Mus musculus: one gene and its partners. The protein of the gene in region 2 interacts with the protein of the main gene of each other region in a pairwise test. Links are inferred from orthologs where the notes say so. Each region holds a gene or a part of one and is shown on either strand. Other genes may lie near its edges.

Region 1 (3,504 bases), on a different chromosome or scaffold from region 2:
CAAAAGCTAGAAATATGCCTGAAATAATGGTGGACAGGGCAGACCTCCAAAGCAAGACAATCTGCAAAGACATAGCAAGTCATAAAATGATACCTCTCCAGGCTATCATTAAATGCTAATTGGCACATGACCTGCAAAAAGGGTACCCCTGAGCTATATCCATTAAATTAAATATTTATTGTATAATAACATTTCTCAAGTAGAGGTTTACCAAGGTAGGCAGACAAATATTACTAAAGAATCACCTTTCTGTTATCTAGTAAATTCTGCTTTTCCTACTCAATATCAGAATGTTCCTCCTAAGACTTGTGGTTATATGGCAGTATTCCTTAGGTTTGCTCTGAAGGTGGGCATGACAAACTTTCTGCATAAAAGAACTGACTCCAAGAAGCTCAAGTGACTCAGATTAAGTCATATGTACTCAGCAAGTAGAGCCAAACCCCTAGCTCCCAGCTGTGAGCACTGCAAGATGCTATAGTGTTCAGCACTAGTAAACACTATCCTCTTCTAAAAATAACCTTACTTTTACATTATTTATTTATCTGTTTGTTTATTTAGCTAAGGATGTATGTGCGTATCACTGTGCACATAGAGATCAGAGGACAGCATGCTAGAGCATACCCTCTCCTTCCATATTGTGGATTCTAGGAACAGAACTCGGATTTCTTGGCAGCAATCACCTTTTACTGCTAAATCATATTGTCTACGCAACCTTGTCCTCTTAAAGACAAAAAAACAGTAACTACATTGACAAGCATTGATATTTACTGCCTTATTCCAAACCCTTTAACATAAATTCTGTGACTCAGCTCTCTACTGGTTTCATCTTACTGCTACCTCTTGCTAAAGGCCAACCTAACCAATGCGTTAAACATTATGTTTTCTGGGTTAGTGGCAGATACTTATAATTCTAACTCTTTGAGTACAGTAAGCATCAAGAGTTCAAGTTTAGCCTTAGTGACAAGGAGAAATCTACAAGACCATGAAAGAATGTATTCCCCCCACCCCCCAGCCAAAGAGTCAAAACAACAACAACCCACAAACAAAACAAAATCGACAGAGGTGGATCACCTAACCCTGGAGAGGCAAAGGCAAGCAGATCTCTTGAGTTTGAGGCCAGCCTGGTCTACAGAGTGAGTTCCAGAACAGCCAGGGCTACACAGAGAAACCCTGTCTGGGGACTTAGGAGTCAGGGTGGAGACACAATTGCCAATGTAACCAATTTGGCCAATCACTTGGGCTAGGGACTACCACATCCATACAAAAGATATTCTTAACCCTACAAGGAAATGAGCCGCTCCTGGAAGCACACACCCATTACATGCAGCATTTACATGACTGAGAAAGGACTGCCATAAGATCTAAGCTACACAGCAAAACCGTATCTCAAAACTCAACGAAAAGAGGTTAGCACTATGGTTCTGCAGGCTAAGGCTCTTGCAGCCACGCCTGACAACCTAGGCTTCATCTCTTGGACCCACAAGATGGAGAGAATGGCCTCTTTCAAGCTGTCCTCCGACATTCACAGATTTGCACATACACCCACATATACAAAAGTATAATTAAAAAAATTAAAATGCACACAAAAGCACAAAACATGATCAGAAAACGTAAAAGCCACATGTGTGAACCACACAACTAAAACTGTTTTGAAGCCGAATGCCTCAGGGTAGCCTGCCCCATCCAGAGCTAAACCCTCCCTCCCAACATGCTCACCTCAAACTCTCGGATGTATGGTGCAATGCCACAGTAAGGTTGGTTATGGTGTTTTTCATGTGGCAGCTTTTCCAGGGGTGGCAGGTATGGGATGGGATCTCGGGGTGCAAAAAGGGCCAGAAGGTTGGGAGGCAGAAACTGTGTCATCTTGCCAAATCTAAGACCAGAAACGTTATGTTAGCATACTTTACTTAGCACTGCTTTCTTTTAGGCCCCCTTCACCCAAAACAAACAAACAAACAAACAAACAGGTGTGAGATTTGGAGACGGATGCTGCTATCCTGGTCAAGGGAGTGACCAACATCTGCTTGAAGAAAAGCTCTTGGTAAGAGCTGAAAAACTTAAGGCTGGTAACAGAAAACAAAGGGGAAAAGGAGTAGGAGGTGTGGGACCCAGGTCGAAGCCTCGCGCTCTAGAGGTTGCTCGCTTCATACCTTTAAGATTATGAAGTAGGGATTTCAAGGGAGGCCATAAGGATAATATCCAGGAAGCCAGGGGCCTCTGCGTAAAATATCTAGGAGCCGAGAGACGAAAGGAATTATGGGTAGAGGTCCAGGATGCGACCAAAAAAAAAAAAAAAAAAAAAGGCGAGAAAAAAAGGCAACACACAAACCGCAAGGGCCTGTGGGTAGGGGACCGCAGGAGATTGGGGGAGGGGGATCCTGAGGGAAAGAAGGCTGGAGTGCCCAGAGAACTCTGGGTAAAGGATGGGGGACGCAGAGGGAGAAGTCAAAGGCACTAACCCGGGAAACGGGCCACAGCAGCGGGGAAAGGGTTCGGGAACCCCGCAAGGGCTTGTGGGTAGCGGCCCCACTCCCCGTTAAGGCCTCTCATTCACCCACTCACTCACCGCGCGGCGCTCTCCTCAGCCTGACGTTAGCCTCAGGCCTCGCGGCCGCCCTTCACAAACAAAAACTCCCGCTCCGACTTCCACTTCGGCGGCGCCCGCGTCAGGTAGCTTCGGTGGTCCGCGCAGCGCGCGCAAACCAGACCTCTCCTCACAACCCGCGCGGCCTCAGCTCGCGACCAGAACTGGGAGTGGAGACGACTCGAATCCCTCCGCCTTTCGCAATGCGCATGCGCCGTACGAGTCAAACGACACCCTCACAGCAGTCCAGGCCTTACCAGGGGCACTGCGCATGCGCCAAAACTGTACTCATTCTGAAATGGCTAAACATCCGCGGCCCGGCTGTCGTACTGCGCATGCGTGATCGGACCTAGGTCGGTCTCAGCCTCGCGCTCTAGCTAACCGCCTATGACCGCGAGACACTTATGGAAGGTCCGCCCTTTCTCCTTACACTTCCCGGACCTTGTGCGCATGCGTCTAAGTGATGCACCACGTCGCATATCCTTCCGCAGCCTGTCAAAAAGTGCCTGCATGAACAGGGTCTTTGCGTTTACGTTGGATTTGACAGGAAACTCTTGCCCGGGTAGCGGTTGTGCACGCCTTTTATCCCAGCACTTAGGAGGCAGAGGCAGGCGGATTTCTGAGTTCGAGGCCAGCCTGGTCTACAGAGTGAGTTCCCGGACAGCCAGGGCTATAAAGAGAAACCCTGTCACAGGGAGGAAAAAGAGAGAGAGAGAGAGAACTCTTTCCCAAAATTTTTGTATGTGCTAGCCACCGTTTGGCTCATGATAAAATAGTCATCTCTTTGGCTCAGTGGTTAAGAGCGCCGACTGCTCTTCCGAAGGTCCCGAGTTCAAATGCCAGCAACCACATGGTGGCTCACAACCATCCATAACGAAATCTGATGCCCTCTTCTGGAGTATCTGAGGACAGCTACAGTG
Region 2 (3,600 bases):
GTCTCCAGCGGTAATGTAAGGATACCCAGTCTTTCCACAAGTTCGCCTCAATACTTTGTAACATGACTCTCTTCTACATGCTTAGAAACTAGCACGCTTTTCACCCACCCCCGTCCCTCATCACTTATGCTTGGCCGTCCTTCCAAACACATCTATTTTCCTGGGTCAGGTGCTCGGGTGCTCACCCTTTACGTAAACAGAAAGTTCCCCCGCTCCGGATACCAGATAATATCAAACTCTCAGCTCTCAGATTGTTTCCTTTAGACCCCAGGCTGAGTGCAGTCCCAAGGGTCCATTCCTTCACCAGTCCCCTAGATCTCTGGGCACAATACGTGACAACAGGAGGAAAGCTTGTCACATTGCCCGGATATCTCTTTCTAGACATTAGATGCGTACGTCCTATGAGACATACACACCTTTCATGCACACAGCTTTGTAAATGTATTTCTAAGCTACGAGCACGGCGCCTACACTAAAATGGCCCTCGGAGGCCACCATCCTGGGACACTACAGTCACCCGCTGCAGCGACTTCCGGTTCGAGGGGTGGGAGGATACTACATGCGGAAGTGCAAGGGGGGAGGTCGAGCGTCGCCATGGGGGCTCCGTTCCACTCCGCACAGCGTGCAGTAAAGAAGTGGCTCTGAAGCTCGGTTGAAAGTACCGGCCCGCGCCTCTGGAAGCGGTAGACGCCGGAGTTCGAGGGCGAACGCTTGGCCACCCTCGGAAACCCGGGCCGCGGGCGCGAAAAACCCTTACCCACTGCGCGCGCGTCGGCTTCCTCCCGGCCCCGCCCTTCTTCTGGGTCACGTGACTCGCGGCGCTCTCAAGCCCCGGATGTGGGTGAGTCCAAGCGCTGCGGCAGGGGGCGGGACGGACAGCGATTTGTTGTGACTTGCGCGCATCCCCGGCCGGAGGAACGGCGGGCAGGCCCGGGGGCGCGCTCCGCCGGAGGCGCGCTCTGCCGGGGGCGCGCTCTGTAACCGACCGCATGCCCCAAAGACGGGCGAGCTGCGGCTAACTGTGGTGCGGTCTCGGCCCTGGCCACGGTGGTGCCGCTAGGCTCCAGGCCTCATGGCCCGCGGCCGCAGCTCGTTGCGGCCCACCTGCCGCGGGGCTTTCCAATGCCGGGTTGCGGCTGCCCGGTCGTCGCGCCCCTGGGTTCCTCCTCCTCCCTATGGGACTCTGGGCTGGCCGGCCAGGTGCTTCGGCCTGCGGGAGGGCGGGCTGCGGGCTGTGGGCTGCATGGCTCCCGGGAAGGGACCCGGCTGCTGCTGCTGCCGCCGGTGTAGGACCAGGCCTTAGCGTTAGCCGCCCAGCGGGAAGCCCGCAGGGTTCCTTGGTGATGTTAGTATGAGAGGTGCGGAAATGTGGCGGGAACCCCTGATGGCAGGGGAATTGCAGATGGCTTCACGCTTTCAAGTCAAGCATAGGAAACAAGATTGGTGGAGTGAAAGTTTGGAAAGGGGAATTCCACAACAGCGCTTTCACGCGGAGACACTTGACAGTGAATGGGCTTTTGTCCTTTACAAAATCGTGGAGTTAGTGCATTCTGATGTCAGACCTAGTTTTCATTTACAGACTGTAGACTTGTTGCCAAAAGTGCTCCCCATTCTCCCCAACTAGCGCTGGCTCTCCTTTGTAGCTATGATCTGGAACTTGCAGTGTAGACCAGGCTGGCCTCAAACTCAGAGATGGGCCTACCTATGTCTCCTAATTAAGGATCCGCGCCACCTCGCCTGGCTTTCTTGAGGCCAATTTAGAGTTTCAAAAATGTATTACTTTATTATAGCTCTTTGTACAACTCGAATATTTGTATTTTATATTTTGTATGTAAGTCAGAGATCAATGGCTATAGTTATCTTTAGCTTTTTACACTTTTTTTTTTTGTTTTGTTTTTCGAGACAGGGTTTCTCTGTGTAGCCCTGGCTGTTCTGGAACTCACTCTGTAGACCAGGCTGTCCTCGAACTCAGAAATCCGCCTGCCTCTGCCTCCCGAGTGCTGGGATTAAAGGCGTGCGCCACCACGCCCGGCTTTTACACTTATTCTTAAAGGCTGCAGCTTAACGATATGATGAAACGAATTATCTTATTTGGAATGCAGCGCCATTTTTAGGTTAATTTTTGTCCCGTGCTCTCTGTCTTTTACTGTGTCGTCCTCAGTGGTCAGTATAGTAAAGGAGGCTGCGAAACTAAAGAGGGTTAGAGACTTAAACCACAGACACATGTCCCTTTAAAATGTGTATATGCTGAAGTTTCAGAAACAATGGAGATATTGTTAATCATGCTGCTGCTGCTTCCTCCCGTGGAGCGGTAGGGACCGGTTACTTAGGCTTTCCTGTACTGTGTGGTGGCTGATGGTGACAGCATTAGTCCACACTGTCATAGCTTAAGGTGCTCCCCATGCCAAAGGCTAGAGTTGCTTTTTTAAGTTTTACAAAAACCACAGTACTATTTTTACATCAGTACAAATTTATAAAAAGCACACAGTGTCAGTGTCCGGTGAGTTCAGGTTCTTCAGCTATTCCATATGTGCTTGTAATACCAAAGTTGTAGACTTGTAGACCAAAGTCCTACAGAGAACTGTCAGCTGCATTCGGTTGCTAGGCCTTCAAAACCCTCTAATCAATAATCAAAACCCTCAATTTCTTTCTTTCATATATATACATATATATTATATACATGTATTATATGTGTATATATGATATTTTCTTTATTTACATTTCAAATGTTATCCCCTTTCCTAGTTTCCCCTCTGAAAATCCCCTATTTCTCCCCCCCCCCCAAGCAGGTTCTTACCTCCCGTTTCTTTATCACTCAGGTTTAGCTGGTTGTATATATTTTTGAATTTATGCCTCTACCTCTTCTATGACCTCTCCTTCACTGGCTAAATCTTGAACTACACTATCCAGTGTGGCAGTCATCAGCCAGCCCTGACATTTTAAATGAACTGTTTGGTTCCCCAGATGCATTAGCCACATTGGAAATGCCCAGCACACACAGGCTGCCTAGTGGCTATTGTCTGATTAATACTGATAAGATGTTTCCATAATTACAGAAAGTTCTGTTGCAATACAATGATCTTTTGAAATACAGTGTTAGATTCAGCCTTGATTTTTGATGGCAGGTACAAGAAAACTCAAAGGTATAGGTTTTATATTATAAAAATTATCTGTTGCGTTCATTGTCAGGGAGACTTGTAATGTCTGAGTCACCCCACTAGGGATGTTAGAATTAAGCTGTGTATGTCGGGGTTCCTGTGCTGTTTGCTCAGTTGAGCCACCATGAAATTGCCCAAGAGCCTTTGGTCAATAGGGAGCTCTTCATGGCTAATAGTGCCTGGGCCGATTACTGAGTGAGAGCCACCGTGGTGCTTTCTAGTGGCGTCATGTGCCCAGTGCTGCTTAGCTGGCACTCTTATGATGAACTTGCCTTCCGCAGCTGACTATCCTGAAGTACAGTTTGTACAGGAATGGCAAGCAAAATGCTTAACTCCGTTCCTTTCTTTTCAGACTACAGCAATGAATTGGTGGCCTAGCAACCTCCAAAGGTAACCCAAGGGCTCCACCTTAAAACAAACAGATAGACTTGAATGTGTTTAA
Region 3 (3,949 bases), on a different chromosome or scaffold from region 2:
CTTGGTCACTCAGCTGCTTCTGTCCACCCCACTATGGCCCCCTCACCTTGCAGATATTCTTTGGTTCATAAAGCACTTCCATGGGGACCTTTTCACAGGAACTCACTGTTTCCATGTCAGTGTGATTTTGAAAAGACACAATCTTATCTTCTTCAAGCATAAAACCAAATGTCCTGTGAACGAAGGGGTTGCACATACACAGTAAGAGTCAGTAGCTGATATTTCTTGTACACCGTTTCACCCTGAGATCATCTATCCTTGACTAGGTCTATGGGAGAGTTGGTGGTTAGGAATCAATTAGATTCTATGAACATGCATAAACATGTATGAAGGTATCCTGAGTCTTTGAGAGTGAGAGTCTGTCCTGATTAGTTGCCCTGAAGTGTTCATTGAGATTAAAGGAAATAGAAACTTATTGAATGGGGCAAGCACATATTCTCACTCAGGCAAGGAAAGTGAAAACTGATTTCATAGAAGATATGAAAGCAGCAGTTGTCCCTAGAAGATGGGTGGTGAGGAGTTCAGAAGAAGAAGGTACACCAAGCACCAAATACAAGCAGAGATTAGGAATAGCTCCTAGTGTTTTACAAGACCCATTAGTGACTAGTTTGTTGTTACCTAGAGTGAATTTGTTTTTGGAAGAAAAGCCAGAGTTCCCTTCTTATGCCTGTAACACAGGGTAGTTGGGAGGCTGAGGTAGAAGGGTCATATGTTCAATGCCTGTCTGAGTAACTATAAAGAATGATCTAGGCCAGTCTGGGTAATATATAATTAAATCCTGTCTCAAAGACTCAATCAGGATTTAAATTGTAGCTTAGTAGTAGGATTCTTATGTAACATGTGAGTGGCCCTTACATTAATTCCCTAGTTTTGCCAAAAAAGAAAATAGTAGAAGAGAGACGTCATAAAGCTTCACTCATGTGGAAATGAATAGGAAAACAGAGAAATATGATGAATTAACCATATTTGATAAGCAGACACACGTGTGACTTAAACCATCATACTTTTACTATATGTTGCCTCCCATGATCCTTTCCTGAAGTCTCTTCCAGCTCTGGGTGATTGCTTAACATTTCCAGAATTTAACCTTCCCTAGTAAATAAATGCTTTGACTTTTTATTTTATTACAAAAATAATAGGCACAGAGAGGCTTCACCCAGCACTAATGGAAACAGATGCACAGACCCACAGCCAAACATTAGGCATAGCTTAGGGAATCCTGAAAAGAGGGGGAGGAAGGGCTGTAGGAGCCAGAAGGTTCAAGGACACTAGAAGAAACCTTAAGAATCAAATAACTTTGGTCCATAGGGGTTCATGGAGACTGAACCACCATCCAGGGACTGTGCTTGGAATTGAGTCAAGCCCTGTGCAAATATAACAGTTGAGCTTGAACTTCATGTAGGACTCCTAACAGCAGGAGCAGGGGCTGTCTGTGATTCTGTTACCTGCCTTTGGGACTCTTTCCTCCTGAGTTACCTCTAGCCTTAACAGAGGATATGCCTAGTCTTACTGCAACTTGATATGGTAAGACTGGTTGATATCCATGGGAGGGCTGCCCTTTTCTGAAGAGAAACAGAGGAGGAGTGGATGGGGGAAGAAGGGAGGTGGGGGGAGGACTTGGAAGAGAACAGAGGGAGACTGCAATTGGAGGGATTCTTAGAGTAAGTAAACGAGTAAATAAATAGATGTAAAACGTAATAGACACTATAAACTTTTTAATAAAAGACAGTTCTGGGCAACTGCTGAAACTTAAATACATGTGTCTACTTCATTACCTACTCTTACGTTTTTCCCCTGAAGACAGAATATAGCTAGGTTGCTAAGGTTAACAGAGAAACCATGAACCCAAACACTTCTCCTGTACCTGCCTTTTAAGGAATTTAGATCACCATTTTGTAGTACAGTGCACTGCATCATGTGTAGATTTTGATGTGGTGTGTCCAATATATACTTGGTGAGAGGATTGCCACAGATTTAATAGTCCCCCTGTCCCAACTGATGGTTTCCAGGGACCTAGGAAATGGCTATATGGCTATGCTGTGCTGAAAGGGGGTGTACATGTTAAGTAGAGTATGACCTGCTGGGCTATTTCTAGGGTAGTTTAGATAAAAGACCTAGAATCTCCACATCTACAGGACCTACTGTCACAGAAGGTCAAAGACCTTGGCACATCTCAAGATACACTAACCAGGATCCTCAAGCTAAATCCTTCAGAAACCTTTTAGTGAGTAGACATTAAGGTGTCTCTGGGACCTTGAAGACTGTGTCTTCATCCAAGAGGAAGTTTTAAAGTAGCCCCTCGGACAGAGATCATTTGGTGTCACTGAGGATGGAGGAAATCTCAAGGCAAATAGGAAGTTTCAAAGTTTGTGAAGCTAAGAGGTATACTACTTCCCTCACAAAGAGTGACATACAGTCTGTCAGACATAAAAGGGTTATAATTTCTTGGTTTCATAAGTAATTGCCCAGTGACGGTTTAGCTCAAAGAACACTTCCAAGGAGGAATTCTGAGGAATGCTGGAGACACAAGAAAGGCACAGGTTGGTCTATACAGGCTAACTTTTCTATCATTTAAGGTTTAGTTTTCTGGGACATCCCTAAGGAAGAACCTACCTCAGACAGGAAGGGACAAAGAAGTGTTTATCCAAGAAGAGACCCAAATATGCACCTTGATTCAGCTGTTGCTAGAGACTCAGCAACCAGGGCAGCCAAACCCTTTGAATTCCTCAGGAAACTGAGGGGGAAGTGAGGTAAGAACAGAATGTTGGAGCCCAGTGTTCAAGGCAGGAAGTACATCACCAAAGGGATGTACTAAATATCCCCACTAAAGTATGATGATCCCCACCCCCTGGCATTGCTTACTCCTGGATATGTTTGACTCTTGAAACGTGCATTTCTCTGGATACCTGGGCTTTCAATTATATCTAGACACACCTCTACTAGGCAGTTGTTTCTCTACAAAAAAAATATGGCAAACCACTTCAAAATTTTCTCCTCTGTCTTCCTTAGTCATTCTAACCTGGGATCTCTTTACAATAAACCCATAACATTTCAATTATTTATTAAAGGAAAGCATTAGAGTTGAAACTCTTCCTATATGTGCTCTTTCTCCAAAGACCCAAGAGCTTGTTTTCCACCAATATTCTTATGAATAATAGCAAAACAGTCTGCATGTGATTAGAGTTTATGGTGCTCTTTAAATGGATCCCAAGTGCTTCTTTTAGGAAGGCTTCTCTACTCAAATATTTTATGCCTCCACTGGCCCCTTAATGCTATGTAGACTTTGCATTCTGAGGACTGCTCTGTCAATAATGCCCTGCTCACAATGACTGACACATTTCTTGGGGCAAGGCAATGTTCAATGGACCTTGGGACCAGAATTAAGATTTTCACTGCATATTCTCCTTATGTTTTCTTCTTAATCATTTATAAAAATTAATTTTAAGTCATATTACAAAGGAATGGCTTTCCCCACAGCCCACAGTCAGCATTATCCCAAATGGAGAACACTGTGAAGCAGTCCCTCTAAAAACATAAACAAGTCAGGGCTGTCCACTGTGCCCACTCCTTTTCCATATAGTGCCTGAAGCAGTAACTGTAGACAAAGTTACTTCATTTTAATCAAGGGATCAATCAATTAATAAAATACTATAGTACTAAGCAAATATGCACAAAACTCTGGTGCACCCAATTTCATAAAAGCATATTAATGGAATAAAAACTCCAGATAAACACAAACTGTATAATAGGAGGCAATTTCAGCACTCCAGTTTCTCCTATAGACGGGACATCTGGACCAAAAATATACAAACAGATACTTCAGAATTCAATGCCCAAGCTGGCGTGGTGGCGCATGCCTTTAATCCCAGCACTCGGGTGGCAGAGGCAGGCAGATTTCTGAGTTCGAGGCCAGCCTGGTCTACCAAGTTAGTTCCAGGACAGCCAGGGC

The links.
Region 1: the proteins of Cep63 (region 2) and Snrnp70 interact in binary tests that used the Homo sapiens proteins (3 or more experiments, as listed by UniProt). The link is inferred for Mus musculus from reciprocal best matches to the Homo sapiens genes CEP63 and SNRNP70.
Region 3: the proteins of Cep63 (region 2) and Ssxb9 interact in binary tests that used the Homo sapiens proteins (3 or more experiments, as listed by UniProt). The two-hybrid records come from large-scale screens. The link is inferred for Mus musculus from reciprocal best matches to the Homo sapiens genes CEP63 and SSX3.

The regions. Positions count from the first base shown.
Region 1 is NC_000073.6:45,392,943-45,396,446, forward strand, and holds the start of Snrnp70 (U1 small nuclear ribonucleoprotein 70 kDa), read right to left. Parts: upstream 2,801-3,504; 5' UTR 2,567-2,800; intron 2,231-2,566; exon of another isoform or gene 2,151-2,230; intron 1,874-2,150; 5' UTR 1,864-1,873; coding exon 1,717-1,863; intron 1-1,716. UniProt on the Homo sapiens protein: Component of the spliceosomal U1 snRNP, which is essential for recognition of the pre-mRNA 5' splice-site and the subsequent assembly of the spliceosome. SNRNP70 binds to the loop I region of U1-snRNA.
Region 2 is NC_000075.6:102,623,504-102,627,103, reverse strand, and holds the start of Cep63 (centrosomal protein of 63 kDa), read left to right. Parts: upstream 1-979; 5' UTR 980-1,072; coding exon of another isoform or gene 1,073-1,122; coding exon 1,123-1,200; intron 1,201-1,206; exon of another isoform or gene 1,207-3,417; coding exon of another isoform or gene 3,418-3,510; coding exon 3,511-3,548; intron 3,549-3,600. UniProt on the Homo sapiens protein: Required for normal spindle assembly.
Region 3 is NC_000086.7:8,365,766-8,369,714, reverse strand, and holds the start of Ssxb9 (synovial sarcoma, X member B, breakpoint 9), read right to left. Parts: upstream 2,738-3,949; 5' UTR 2,614-2,737; intron 174-2,613; 5' UTR 161-173; coding exon 47-160; intron 1-46. UniProt on the Homo sapiens protein: Could act as a modulator of transcription.